Linked DNA regions of Oreochromis niloticus. The protein of the gene in region 1 purifies or fractionates together with the protein of each later gene. This does not show direct contact. Links are inferred from orthologs where the notes say so. Each region holds a gene or a part of one and is shown on either strand. Other genes may lie near its edges.

Region 1 (7,729 bases):
TTTTGTTTCTTTATTTTATTTTGTTGTAGTTAGTGGAAAGAGGTGTGACATTTTACTACAGAATGTAAGACTGTATAGTCTGTGGTTACCGTTATGGAAGAGTTGTAACACCTTCATATCCTTCAGTCAGAAACAACTACACATGTACAGTTACATTGTCTTAAGGGTTACAAAAAAGGTTACATTTGAAGTTTGCAGAGAAGGGCAGAGGCAAATATGTTGTTTTGGAGTGGAAAAAAAAGAAAATCAATTTTCTGTATCAGATCAGATGTATGTTTTTACTATACTGAGCTTAAATGTCTGGGAGATTTACAAAGAGTATTCTTACAGTCCAAACGAGTATTCTCAAAGTCCTTGTTGTGCAAGTTAAAAGTAGAAATTACTGACATTACAAGTTTCAATTTTTGTTTATTAAAACTTATCACAGCAGAAAAGTTTATAGAGCACATTTTGTTGTATGTTTCTTTTCTGGTTGTTTGCTTTAGGAATGAGTTTACAACTCTGTGGAATGTTTGATGGAAATTGGGTGTATTCTGTTTTACACTATATACTATATTTTTGCTGTCTATGTTACCTGTTTTTGTCATGTGTGTAAACTGGTTTCTATTTTCTGTCTTTTAATATAATGCTCATTAAGCAGATGTGTAATTAAAAAAACATCCTATACAAAGAAAATTCCCATTCTGCAGTTAATCCTGATTGAATAAATGCAGCTCAAGTACTTGTGGACTAGTCAATACAAATGCATTTTTTTTTTTAGTTCAAATCAGCAACAATATATATGCATGAAGAGTAGGGCTGCCACAAACGATTATTTTGATAGTCGACTAGTCACCGATTATTTTTGCGATTAGTCGACTAATCAGATCATGCATCCATTGGACGTAAAATGTACACCTGAAAATATGTTAAACGTTTATTTTGTGACCCAGAAAGAATAATAATTGTAATATTAAAACTAACTAGCTGCCGCCATTGTTGACAACTGCGCTGGGCCGCGCTATGAATTCTGGAACACAGTTTCTTCTTCTTCGGGGTTTAACGGCAGCTGGCATCCTTGTACATGCAGTGCTGCCATCTTCTGTTTCAGTCCGTTATTACACTCTTAAATACTACTACTTATTCCTGCGTCTTTTGGGATCTTACAAAGCTTCAAACGACGCGTCGACTATTAAATTAGTCGTCGACGATTTTAATAGTCGACGTAATCGTGACTAGTCGACTAATCGTGGCAGCCCTAATGAAGAGTGATAGGGAGGGAAAAAGGTATAACAGTGAATCTCTACAGCCATCTGTAAACCTTTGCGAAAGCTGTGTTTCAGAGACAGCTGCATTTGAACCAGTGATTTTGGGCATCTTGTCAAAAATGATGAAATTTTGAAAACAGAAAAATACTGTCAGATTTAAAATAATGTATTGCAGTGATCACACGCCAATGATTCCAAGCACATTGCCAGTGCAGTAAAAGCATACCTAGATAGAATAACACAGAATGGAACACCAGTCATGGATTGGCCTTCCCAGAGCCCAGACATCAACACTACTGAAGCATTGAGGGATCATCTTGACACAGAATTGAACAAAAGGCAGCCAACGTCCAAAGAAGAGCTTTAAATGTCCTTCAAGAAGCCTGGAGAATTATTCCAGAAGACTGCTTAAAGAAACTACAAGAAATCTGCCTCAGAGAGTTGAGCTTTTACTAATTGTACAAACAAAAGTAGTCATGCTGTATAGGTTAGTCATTTTCTTTAAAAAATCAATGGGCACAATACTGTGAATAATAATAGTTGAAACTGTTTGAGTAATTCTATATTTTAGAAATATAGCAACAAGTAGAAAGTCCAAAAAGCAATGAATATAAAAAAAAGCCATAACTGGAGCTCGAACTACTGATCTTGCAACTGAGACATGCTTTTCACCCTAAGATGACATGATAAGCAAAATATCTTTAATGGTATGATCTAAGAGTTGTATCTTATTTTGGTTACTGTTTCATGAACATAGTCCCCAGACAGTAGTGCAAACACTTGAAATTGCAGCAGCACATCATTCCCCCTTTGTCTTATAGAAGATGCTGAAAAAAGAAATGTAGATTTAGGTCACATACTGAACAAACTTGATAAGAGAAAGCATATGATAGGGTGCCAAGAGCTGTGGTACTGTATGAGAAAGTCAGCAGTGGCCAAGAAGTATGTATGAGGACAATAAGACACTAATGAGGTGTGCGGTAGATGTGTTTAAGGTTGGGGTGGCAATCAATCAATCAATCAATCAATCAATCAATTTATTCATAAGCACATTTAAAAACAACACAGGTTGAAGTAGAAGTAAGATAGAATTTGTGTGTGAATGAGAGAGAGACGTGTAAATATGAAGATGCTAGGAGCAGAGATACTGAAGATAGATGAGTTTAAATAGCTGGGGTCCACCATTCAAAGAAATGCACAGTGCACAAGAGAAATGGAGAAAAAAGCGTATGCAGGCTGGAGTGGGTGGAGATGAGAGTCGGTGTGAGCGATAGTAGCAAGAATGAAAGGGACGATTTACGAAGTGATAGTGAGACCTGCTATTATGTATGGTTTGGAGATGGTGGCAATAACAAAAAGGCAGAGGGCAGAGCTGAAGATGTTAAGATTTTCATTGGGGGAGAACAGAATGGACAAGATTAGAAATTAGTAGGTCAGAGGGACAGCACAGGGTTGACCAGTTTAGATAAAAAGTTAAAGAGCAAAGGTTTGAACATGTGCAAAGGATGTCAAAGATGGAGCTGTCAAGCAGGAGTAAAAAAAGAAGACTAAGGAGAAGATTCATGGATGTATAGAAGGAGGACATGCAGAGAGTTGTGTGTGACAGAGCAAGATGCAAGGGATAAGGTAAGATGGAGCCAGATGATCCACTGTGAGAACCCCTAAAGCAGGGGTCTGCAACCTTTTACACCCAAAGAGCCACTTGGACCCGGTTTCCACGCAAAAGAAAACACTGGGAGCCGCAAATACTTTTTGACATCTAAAATGAAGATAACACTGTATATATTGTTTTTTACCTTTGTGCTTTGTGTGAACAACTAAGGTGTGTTGCTTATGAAATCCATGAAGTGCTACAGAGAAAATTACATTTTATTTACGTAATTAACACATTTTGAACTCTTAAAGAAATATAACAAAAGGAAAGACACCCAGCTGAACTAAAATGATCCACGTAGCAAACAAAAACTGTTGTCAGCTGCCACCCTTATATCGCCTTTGGGCTGTTGGAGCCTTGACCTGACTCTTAAAAAATAATTGGAAAAAAGCACTATGCTGCTGAAAAATGAAAAATAGATATTTGCAAAATTCTGCCTAAATATGTATTTTACCTGGTTAACGCGTGCGGCGGGGCGTGGTTTGCAGCGCCGCTGCAGGGGAGGCGGACGCACCTGAGCGACACCCGCAATCACGCCTCGCCGCCTTTACGTCTGCGCTATCTGTGCTGTTGTGTTGTTGGTGGTCTATGTCGGGCTGTGAGCTGAAAAGCTACAGCCGGCTGTATGCGTACAGCAACCGTGTGTGAAAAGTGCTCAATAAAGAGGTGCTCAAAAGCGTGTTCATGGAAACATCGTCGGGTCTGCCGTGATATGTTTACAATGGGACTTCTGCTCCTGAACCTCTGTGCACAGAGTCCGCAAATCGGGGATATACGAAGTCAGTTTACTCACGGTGTTTGTCTTTATCATAGTTCACGGTGGAGAACAGCTGCTGACATAATGTGGATCCGAAGATCCATAATTGACCTACCTGGGGTTGAAAGTCTCGATAAATGCACGGCGTTTCGGCGGGTATACCGGCTTCCGCGAGTGTGACTCTTATTTTGAGCGATGAAAAAAATAATAGAATATAATTTTATTTTTATATTTCAAAATCACAACAATCTTCCAATTTAGAACTACGAGTTAAAAAGAACTAACATAAATAAAATACACTTCAGCTAAATACTTCTAATTTATTTTCCCAAACCACGCGGAGCCGCAGTATAAGGACAAAAGAGCCGCATGCGGCTCCGGAGCCGCGGGTTGCCGACCCCTGCCCTAAAGGGTGCAGCCCAAAGAACAAGAAGAAGAAATTTCACTGGACCACTTGGGGAGGCTGTATTGTCTCGGAAAACTTTGACACTTTAAATTTTAGAACATATAACGAACCCGTTTGGTTATACTGAGAAAATTACAAATGATCTCCAGCATTTGAGACTGAGAACCTTCACAGACAGATCTCCAACAATTTTATACTTAAGTACATGTTACTATTAATAATATCAATCTTCTTACTCTTAGGCCATATTTTATTTTATACCCATTCTTTAATTTCATAATTATAGTGTAAAATTGCTTCTATTTGAATAAATATTTCTGAACTGCCTGCAGCTGATGAGCATCATCTGCCTTGGAAGCCGCACTCCAACCTAACTACGCTTTCTGCCGTCCGTGGGAAAACCCCAGAAAGTGGGACTTGGTTATTGACAAAACAAACAGCGAATCAGCGTTTTAGAAAGAAACGACTAACCAATGTCTGTCAGCGAGCACGAGGACGTCATACATTAAGTTTAGTGAGGTCGTCTCCTGTAAATAATATATCTCATAGATGTAGCGATACACTGTATTATTTCACATATTTCTCATGGAGAATAGATGTATTTAAATGTTTTTAGCAAACTTAGGAAGGTGGCAGTCTTCTGCCAGCCTTGTTGCTGTTGACCGGCTCGCTAGGCTAACTTTAGCGTGATACTTAGCTGGTTAGGATTGTAGCATTAGCTGTCCATTTAGCTAATCAGAGGTTATTACGAGAGCAGTCTAACCTGTTTTCAGAAGCATTTGTCTAACTGGAATGGACTTCGAAATGACAGCCATTTGTAGCCACTAACCGAATTCACGCATATCAAAGGTAAGGTGTCCGTGTTGTTGGCACTGGACGTAAATGACTGTCTGGTGCATTTTAGCTCACTGTACGTTAGCCACTTTCCTCTCTTAAAGGGCCTTTGACTGACAGCTTCTGCCCGGCGACACGCTGCTGATGTTGTCAAAGGAAAATGTTGATTAAAGCAAGTCATAGTATCGCTTTGTAGGTGTCACCTGAAAGACCCCGCTAACTCAATGTCACAGCAGGTCAGCGCGTGTCAGTTTGAAATTACTTTCATTTTCAACCTGTGTTGGGCTTTAGCCATGTATGGCGTTAGCCTTAAAAAATCTTGTAAAAATGATCTAACGGTACTCAGGCTGTTAAAAACAACAGCGTATTGATGGAGTAAATGTCGCAGTTCAGCAGCTGCTGTCGTGTTTGAAACAATTGACGGATGTAGAAGTATTGTGTGCTCTTGACTCTGTCGGGTGTTTGAAAAATCATATCTGAGGTGTGATCAGGGGAAATCCACACGACTGGTATCTGTCTTACCCAGAGTGTCAGAATAAGTCAACTGTCTGCTTACTCTCTATTTTTAGAAAATTGAAATAAGTAGCAATGAGTAATGTTACACAAAGTGCTGATTTTTCAAAAAGAAATCACTGGTCTACTGAATGTAGATGAGGGAGAATACACAAGAGCACAACAATCTCTCAGAAGAAACCAAAACAAGCGAACTGGAGCAGAGATTTTCTAAACTCTCAGTGCAGTTAAGACTGTTTTACCAGAGTTTTGCCGTGGTTAATTTCAGTATGGCTCATCACACATCTATTTGCATCTAATTAATGAAACTGTTCCAATGTGTGTTTTTTTGTTTGTTTGTTTTTTGCTCAAGTGTACTTTTAGACAGAATGAGCAGTTGTGCTTGTTAGTTCAGTTCTGATTTGTGCTTTGGAAGGGCTAGAGTAGAAATATTGTTAATGTTATGAATTATATTAATGCTTAACTTATTGTGGTATCAAAGCACATAACCGCAGCTGTCTAACCACATTAATTTACATTGCAGAAATGTAAGCTCATCACTTTCACTTATTAGGTCAAACCTTAAGTGTTCTGGGTGGGGGGTTTTTCCTAATTTTTTTCGTTTCTTCTTAGACCACAGGTCAAGGTTGCCTTGACATTGGAGCTTCTGCCTAGCATGCAGACATGAGCTCTGCCCTGTGGAGCCAGGAGAAGCCCAGTGGGGGCTTCAGGGAGGACTGGCGGTTCTACATGGTTGTGAAGGAGTGTACAGTGGAGAAGCCTCCCCAGAAGACCCTGAGGATTCCCCGTGGCAGTCTCGGCCAGGCCTGTCAGGAGCGCAACAGCCTAGGAAGAACGCTGCCCCCATGCAAGGGAAAGAAAAGTCTCCGTATTCTGGACCAAACCAACGTGGTTTTGAGCCTGGATGAGCGGGACGTCTTGGAGCTGGATGAGAAGCTGGCTGAATTGCTCTTTCCCATTACTAACTGTGAGGAACGGTATGCGCTACTCTGCAACAAGTCACGGCTAGAGCGTGTCCGTGATATTGACTGTGGTTCCAAGGTGCGCGTCCAGCTGCGCTCAGGGGATGAACCTCTACCTGGTGTGGTCCGCTTCAAAGGCTCACTGCTTCCTGATAGAGCGCTGTCTGGAATCTGGTTTGGAGTGGAACTTCTGGTGAGATCTCTTTCAGTTTTATTCTCATTTTTGTAAAAACATGGTATCTATGTAGATTCTTAATTTGATTTTTGATCTGTTCATTAAAAATGAGATGACCACTATAGTTTAAATAAAATTTAAAGGACTGGCAAAATTGTTTAAATGTAAAAAAAATTAACAATTTAAATGAGAACATTTCAAGCTTAAAAAAAGGTTTTATTTCAGCTTCATTCTCGATCTAATTAATATGAGACAAATATTTAAGTAAAATAATCACTAAAACCAGTGTATTACTTTTTAGCATGACCTTAAAAAATCTTGAAAACCAGTTATTATGTCTATGTCTGTGTAAAGAACTGAAAACTAAATAGGAATAACAAAAAAACAGGAACAGTTTCTTGAGTCCTGTTTGAAACCAGGTGATTTTTGCTTGACTCACGCAACTTTTTTTTGACATGATGGCTAACTGGAAACTGCTGCAAATGATTCCAGCAAATAAAACACTTATTCTTCACAATAACTTACTTAATAAGTTACAGAAGTACCACCATTTCCGCTTACATCTCATGGCCCTGATTAGTGAAAGTGCTCAAGCATTTTTTAGTTGTGTTACAAACTGACTATAGATAAGAATGTAGTTTTGTCAGTCTAATTGTGTAAGTGTCATTTATTTGCTATTTTAAGCTCAGTAGTCTTACCTACGTACTGGGAGGGAAAAAGATCCCCAGATCCTCGCCTTACACAAAAGCACTGGTGAATTCTTGAACTGTTGCTATTTTTGGAAATAATGTATAACAAAAATAGCATAGTTAACAATAAAAAAGCTTTTTTGAAGATTTTTTTAAGATGTATTGATGACTGTTGAGGGTACACAGTAGTGCTGCAGAAGCTAAATGAAAAGCTAAATATTCACATTTATATTGCATTTACAGTGATGATGCCACATCTTGACAACTTCTGTTTCAATTCACTTGGTTTAAAAGCGGTGAGATGATGACAGTTTATGTAAATATAACGCTGAAAAATCAAACTGTAAAGCTTCAAAGCTTGCATCTAATGGCTTCGAGTAAAAATGTGGGATTAAATAATGTATATTGCTTGTTTTATTTTCAGATAATTTAGGTTTTATTTAACAAATTTGAAATTCTTAGGTAGTACTTAAACTTCTAAAGGAAGTGGCT
Region 2 (7,607 bases), on another chromosome or scaffold:
CATTTATAGAATGAAATCTGTCTTCAATTATGTCCTGCAAGAACCAGCTGTTGTCATGTTGTCACAGAAATGTAGAACTCTACTGCCCTCTTGTGGTTTAGACACATGCAAATAAATTCTCACATGAAAGTGACCAAATTAACCCAAACACACTGACTTTTTTTTTTTTTTTTTTTTTTAAAATACTTGCATCTGTAGATTCACTGAATGAACTACTGTATTAGCCCTATGAGTTCTGGAAGTTTGAAAACAAGATCTACCAGCAGGCACAAAGACATAAGGGAGAAACATCACAAAAAAGCAAAAATGCCATCTCTGGCTGTGTTTGACCCTCATTGTTTATTCTTACCAGTAGATCTGTCAAAACAGAATGAACACACCCAGCCACACTCTAATACACAAACACACGCGCTTCAATCAAAAACAGCACTGAAAAGACAGTTTTTTTCCCCCATCTGCTGAAAAACTGTGGTCAAAAAAGAAAAAAAAAAAAAAAAGAAAAGAAATAAAAGTCCCTTTACCTTTTAACCTTTTGCATAAACATGCGAGTAGAATTAGTATAATATGTTTCTGTTACTTGTAGACTTCACAGAGTGAAGTTTGTTGTCTGCTGGCAATAGGTAGCCACCTAGTGGTTAGACCCTCTCATAACATCAAGTATTGACAATGCAGAATTTTTAAATCACAGGTTCGGATGTTTTGTTGCTAGATGACACTTTGTCATTGATAAACAAACAGCTTAAACATAGTTTAGCAGATACCTAACAAACTATCCAGTCTACAGACTCAGCTGGGGGGAGGGGAAGATAAGTGATTATCACACCAGAAACACAGTATTACTCCTAAATCAAACAGTACAATATGTTTTTTTTTTTGTAACCATATTGCGTGATTTATTTTCAGAATAATAAACCTATATATTCATAGTTACGATACCAGTTCCCTATGAAAAATAATTACCCATAGTAAGTCAGTACCACCATCCCCATTCTAGATGAATGATGACACTGTGTGTTTCTGTCTTTTCAAGACCATCATCCCTTCATTTCACTGGATTCCCTCCACCGGTGAATTGTTTTTCACACTTCAGTGGTCCATAAGGGAGCGCTGTAAAGCCTCCTGAATCATTGTGTGCTCATCTGTGGAATAATCCTGGGAGGTCGTAAGCATGAGAAGTGGAAGAAAAAAAAAGTCACTTAAATTCTTATTAACATAAAAAACAAACAAACAAATAAACAGAGAGTGCTTTACTTACAACAAATGTATCATAGGAGAAAGTGTGTCTGATCTTCAGGTGCTGGAAAAAGTCAGCACTCCTGTAATTAGGATCCCCCCAAGGCATCGAGGCACAGATGGGGCACACCTAAAGAAAACATGAAGGTAATAAAACGATCTTTGAAACACATTATTAACCCAGCTGAAGCCAGTAAGTGTGTGGAAACTCAGTATGACTCAGAATTATGACAGAGTAGACTTTTTTTTTTTACCACTTGGCGTGCATCTCGAGCATGTTGGGAAGTGCAATGTTCAACCAGGCCGTCCTGGTCGAGGTTCTGGCAGTTACAGTAGGGGCAGGTGAAGGTGTAGCGATTTGGCACTGAACTGTGGCAGAAGAGAAACAATAAAATGTCACAAGGTTTGGTTCTCAACTACATGAATATTGCACTTGAAGTGCAACAGGCATCAGCTTATGAAGAAATAATTTACCACAGTTAGTGGCCAATCTTTATCTTTTGTCACATCAACTTTTCACCAGCTGAAAGAGCTTGAGAAAGGCTTAAAAGTGACAGTTATTCTTTTTTCTTTTTTATAACAGGAATCCGTTTCCTGGCACAAACATCTGGAGGGTTAAATAACAAAATAAATAAATACCAGGATCGGTTTCTTACTTTAAACAGTGTTGGCCCAACATGCCACAATGTGTGGATTCTTTGTTTTAAAGGCTGCTGTTTGGGTGGAAAAAAACAAAACAAAAACCCCCCACTAAAGACTACTTCCTGATTAGTCATAATAACCTCATTACAAGCGACGGCTTCTCAAACCATCTTCTCGGAACTTTCTCCAGGAAGTACAGCTGTCATAAATACTTAACATCCAAATATGATAAAAACCAGATCCACTTCATACAACTTGACAATAACAGTGTTTTATGTTTTCTAAAGATAAAAGTTGTACTGTTTTCTATACACTCTGGAAAAATCATGATTGGAAATTACAACAGGTAAAATACAGAATACTTAGCATAAGCTTGATCACACTTTATAATACTATTTTACTTGCAATCAGATTGTGTTTAATTTGAAATCCTATTTGTGCTAAAACTTCCATTTACTTTTTTTAACTTTAAGTGTAAAATGTATACACTACATATAGTTCACATGACAGATTGACCGCAAAAACAGAGCATTTCATTTTTGACTGACATGTTAGGCATGTCAGTGAAACAAGGCAGTAATGGAGCCACGACTTTGGAGTCTTATCAAACAACAATGTACTGCCAAGAGTTTATAATACTATAAACAGGGAATTTTATATCACAAGAAGATATTATTCCATCATTTGTCACAACAGGTCAACTGTTTAAATTTGGCACTTAAGTTACAGTGAAATCTATCATAAATCTATCATTGCATACATTTGATTGGGCCAACAGAACTCCATTTCCTATGTACAGTACTCTCTGCTCTGTGAATGAAGCCCTCTCACTGACTCTACTGACAGGGCTGCACTCATTTCCTTTTTCACTTTGGATTGGTGTTAGTCCAAAGGTGACCTTTAATTTATACAACCCAACAAGCAGCAGTGATTGCACGCAAAGTCTGACTCTACAGTGTAAACCATTTTGCTTTTCTTATGTAGGGAATAGCAAATAATTGTTCTGCTTCTTTCCCCACCTGACGATGGCAGGCTGGCTCTGGGCAGTTGTCCTGACTCCCTCCTCAATGTACTCCTGGTATTTTGAACAGGCAGCTGTGTGGCTTCTCATCTTAGAAAGCCCAACCTAATTGGGGGAGGAGTGACACATATCAGTAACTTCCAGTATATGACCATCATCATAAAATTGTTGCTATTATCTAAATATAAAGACAGAAATTTAGACACAGCAAAATATTAAGATTATGCATGTGCAGTTATTGAATATTCACCCTCTGTGACTGCTTCATAAATGTGAGTCAGTTCAGCAATATTTTAGCTTTTGGACTTTAGTGAAACATACCTGTGTGCCACATCCCTTACAGGCTGCCACAGAAGATTGAATGAGTGCCTCGAGTTGAGCAGCTCTAGTCCAGTGGCCTGGAGCGCCTCGACATACAGCACACACAGGTTTCTGTGGACGCAGACATTCCTGCAAACAACTGTGGCAAAACCTGTCAAGAGATGGGTGAAATAATGTGACTGCTGCACAAGATAAATCAACTAAATTGTCACTTTTAATTTGGGCTCTGGTAACCTGAGGCTTTAAAAAAAAAATTATTAAAAAACAAGACAAAAACATGCAGCAACTCTGTTTACATTAACGCATGGCCTGCAATGAGAAAAAAACCCCAAATGCTGTCACTAAAACAAACCTTTATTATGCTAGTGACTGGACCTTCCTGTAACTCATATGGAAAGTCCCCCACCTCGAGAATAGCCAGGGACTTGTAGTTCTTTAAAGTGGTTTGAAGAGTTAGAGCAATACACATCCAAACTACAACTCCCAAGTGAGGCCTCCTTTTTGATGTAAACAAAACTGAAACTGATTTAGCAAGCTGGAACTGTTTTTGTCACATATTCGAGAGAGAAAAATAGAAAAAACGGGGTCGTAGCACTAGAAGACACTCGCGAGGCCGATATTTTGCAACTCTGGTGCGACGACATATTTAAAGTGAAGCCCTTTCCTCCATTGTTTTTGCCTCTTTTCACTGCATCGTTGGTGGCAGACGAGGGTTAGGGGGAGGGCGATGGAAAATAAACGGCAAAAATACTCACGTATGTCCACACTGTGTTGTCACGGGACTGTCGAATATTTCGAGGCAAACTGGACAGACGAATTCGGACACGTCGTTGCTCCCGTCCGAGGCGTTCTTCTTGTGAGGTGCTGCGCTAAAGCCTCCGAGCATCGCCATTTCTTTTCTTCACTGAGTCGGTTCCACCACCAGCACCAACCGTCCCCGTGACGACGTCATCGGGTTCTTGTTCTTTTTTAAGCGCGAGGGGGCGGGGTCACCGGCGAAAGTAAACATCGTAACACATAATTGTACGACATACTTACTAAATCTGTGACACCCCCCCCTCCCACTAGATATCGAAACCCCCCAGAGACATTCAAAATATTACAATATATAGTTATTCAAATAAATCTGAATTATTCGGGCACTAATACAACGAAAAAGCAGGAAATCCACACCACTAAATGTATACCTTCGGCAAATCATTATGAACCCGGGAAATCTGTCTCTGCGCGCACGCGAGCCTATATGTATATATATATTTTTTTACCCATGCAAAACAAAAACAAAAATGAATGAAGACTGGGGATGATGTATTTGGGGGTCTGTATCCCGTCTTCCCTAGCACGTGGGCTCCTGATGCTGATGAACTGTCAGGATTGAGCGCATGCGTGTTGTTATACTGGGAATTTCCAACAGCTGAGGAGGCGTAGCTAGCCATGACTAGCACTTGTTAAAGGTAAGATTTGCGAATGCTGTTATTTTTGTTTGAACAAACGTCTTGATCTCCTAGTGGGAGCCCATTAACATTTGATCCCAAAAGAACATCACCTTAAAAATTCGCTGTGTCTTGTTATTTTATTTTAAACTGGCGAATAATGTCTGTGTAGCGATGGAACGCCCTGCTAACCAAAAGCAATTGTTAGCTAGCCAGCTACGCTGAAATGGGCGTTCACTGTTTAGCTTCTACTCAGTAGGGAGGCCATAGCAGTGGCAGCATCGGGTTTGAGAGTCATGAAGAATTAATGTATACGTTCTAGGAGTATTACTTTATATTGCCATTGGTCACGGTGGACTAAATTTGTTGTAGTAGATACGCAGTTGTAAAGCATGCGTCTGGCTAAGGCTCATTGGTTGCTAGCTCGTTGAGCGGATGTTCGCAGAGATTTTCAGGTAACAGGTATAGCCAGCCAGCCAGCTTGCAAGAATCTGAGAGCGAAATGTTTGCTCTCCTGTTGTTCAAGCCTCGTACTATTTTCACGATGTGTTTATGAGTTTTGAGTTGAAGCTAAGCTAGGCTAGGTTAGCGCCACTCTGGTTTACACGCATGTAGTACCAATAGCTGAAACGTTCACTGGCGCAAACGTGTGAGAGGGATGTATACATCAGTAATGAGTTCCTCTCTTGCTTATTTAAGCTATAATTCCACTGGCCTTTTTCTTGGTTATGTACATTGTAAAACAAACAATTTTTTAAAAAAAAAAGCCCTTTCACTATGTGATAGACAAAAAACCCACCCACCCAAACGAATCCATCTTCACATCTCTGAGTACAGAGATGGTCCTGGATTAGTGTATCTTCCCTCTTATCTGAACCTCTAGATATTTCAAAACATGCTTAACCACAGTTAAATTGCATTTTCATTTAGCTAGAAACCGAAAATGATATTTTTTATCTTAACAGCTATTGCTTGTGTCATTTCAGCTTGGACATGGCTGATAACAACCCCAAGATCATGAATCTGTCTTCTTGATGAGTGACCTTGAACTCTACCAATGCTAAAACCAAGCAATGGAATAGATGCAAGTCTGTGTGCCAAGGAAAACCTCCCCCCTGACGTTATCTTGCATGACAGAGGCCTGTTTTTCTGGAAACAAGTCAGGCTTTGAGCCAAAGCCAGAGATGCTCATACCAAGGCATCCTTATGGGCTACAGCCTTGCTACACCAACTGAAAGCACTAGAAAACTGCATCTCTTGCTTAGAGGATGTGCTACTGAGTGGATGCAAAGATTGACTCCTCTGTCATCTCTCCACGACATTAACATTTAGTGTATACGGTTTAAAGAATGGTAACCAAAAATGGTGTCTGAATGTGGCATTTTGTGGTTGGGCATGCTAAAAGGTGTGAGGCTCTCTCAGAAAATTATAACAGCTGACTAATAGTCTGCTGCTAATAATGGATGCCAAGTTAAAAGAGGACCTGTTCCGGAGGTATGTGACAGCACTGGAGAAGCGCCTGGAGGAAGGAGGGGATAACAGGGGGACTGGAAGTACGCAAGAAGGGGAAAGAAGCAGACACAAGGACAGTGAGGCCCTACTTTCCACAGCCACAGCTCTGCTAGGAGCCTATCAGCCAGATCCGGCACAGCGATTTCGCATGGTGCGTTTCTATGAGGTAGTGGAGAACTCCCTCCGCTCCCAGAGAGGAGTCAACCTGAAGGGCCTCGAGAGAGCCTTCCATACCCTGGAAACCATCTGCACCAACCTCCTGCTCTTCCCTTGGAAGAAGGAATTCAGATGTATAAAGGTGAGTTTATTTCATTGATGGGATATTTAATATATTTTGCTTAGATTAGTTTACTCTAATAGCCAAAATTTCACTATTAATACATTTGTTATATCAGAATTAATCATTATTGTCCAGTCCTGAGCTTTGAGATACTGAGCTTTGGCAATTGATCAGGGCAGTGTGTGTGTACACCGAAATACTTTTGTGAATTTGCATATCTTTCAGACTGTCTTTTGCAGGCAATATATATGAATATCTTTCCTGACCTTTAGTGTGGAAGCAAGACTTTTACGTTTGTGTACACATTCTCAGTCTTTATGCAGATATCAGATATCTGCATAATCTTAAGAGATTATTTTAACTTAATTACTTGTTGTCTAATCTTAATACCATAAAGTGGGTATACAAACAAAAGTTTGATCTCCCCTGTCTCATAAACTGCTTGACATGTTTTTTAGTAAATTAATATCTAAAAGTAAGAAAATTTTTCTGAAACTATTAAAATTTGTATAGACTTGTAATTTTAGTGAACACGCGTGCAAAGAGGACCTTGTTATTATGGTTGCTTCTGCTCAGTTCTGCTTGGTGAATAAGTGAGAAATTAAAAGGAAAGCTGTAACTCTTGACACTTCAGTGTTCCACTGCCTCTGTTTTGCTTTGGGGATTTATGTTGCTGGCATTCTTTGGCTCTCCTTGTCTTCTTAGAGGGAAAGCACCGCAAATCAATACGAAGTTGTTTGGTGTGAAACATTTCTAACCTAATAGGAGAGGGAAATGTCCTTGCACACAGAGCCGAAACCGTTATGAATTATCTTATGGCGTTCACCCTCACAAGATATCAAGTTAACTGAATGTCTATGGGAAATTTCTGTACATGTTAGACAGCCTTCTGCCATCATTATCAACCCCCCAAAAGAGGACCAAAAATAGTTGTCCCCACTTCTGGTTTTCTAAAACACTTTTTTTTTTTTTCGCTTGACTCTATCAGCCAATTTTATCTAGAACTATATTTAAAATAAGTATTTGATATTAGAAAGGTGGTCATTTCAGCTTTACATTGAGGTTGTTGTAATTTGTGGTAATCATCTGTTTTGTCATAGATGTGCATTTCTATTTTTTTTTCCTTTATTTGTGGCTTCATGTCAGCCTGTTTTAAACAACTGAC

Evidence for each region.
Region 2: the proteins of cyld (region 1) and spata2 purify together in Homo sapiens (affinity purification with western blotting; 10 studies listed by BioGRID and IntAct, with this or other methods). This does not show direct contact. The link is inferred for Oreochromis niloticus from reciprocal best matches to the Homo sapiens genes CYLD and SPATA2.

The regions. Positions count from the first base shown.
Region 1 is NC_031965.2:31,474,465-31,482,193, reverse strand, and holds the start of cyld (ubiquitin carboxyl-terminal hydrolase CYLD), read left to right. Parts: upstream 1-4,549; 5' UTR 4,550-4,913; intron 4,914-6,023; 5' UTR 6,024-6,074; coding exon 6,075-6,566; intron 6,567-7,729. UniProt on the Homo sapiens protein: Deubiquitinase that specifically cleaves 'Lys-63'- and linear 'Met-1'-linked polyubiquitin chains and is involved in NF-kappa-B activation and TNF-alpha-induced necroptosis.
Region 2 is NC_031984.2:16,328,830-16,336,436, reverse strand, and holds the start of spata2 (spermatogenesis-associated protein 2), read left to right. Parts: upstream 1-4,407; 5' UTR 4,408-4,671; intron 4,672-4,799; exon of another isoform or gene 4,800-5,105; intron 5,106-5,636; 5' UTR 5,637-6,109; coding exon 6,110-6,460; intron 6,461-7,607. Other genes in the region: E3 ubiquitin-protein ligase RNF114, read right to left, coding at 1,087-1,152, 1,256-1,363, 1,488-1,602, 2,895-3,001, 3,218-3,368, 3,973-4,109.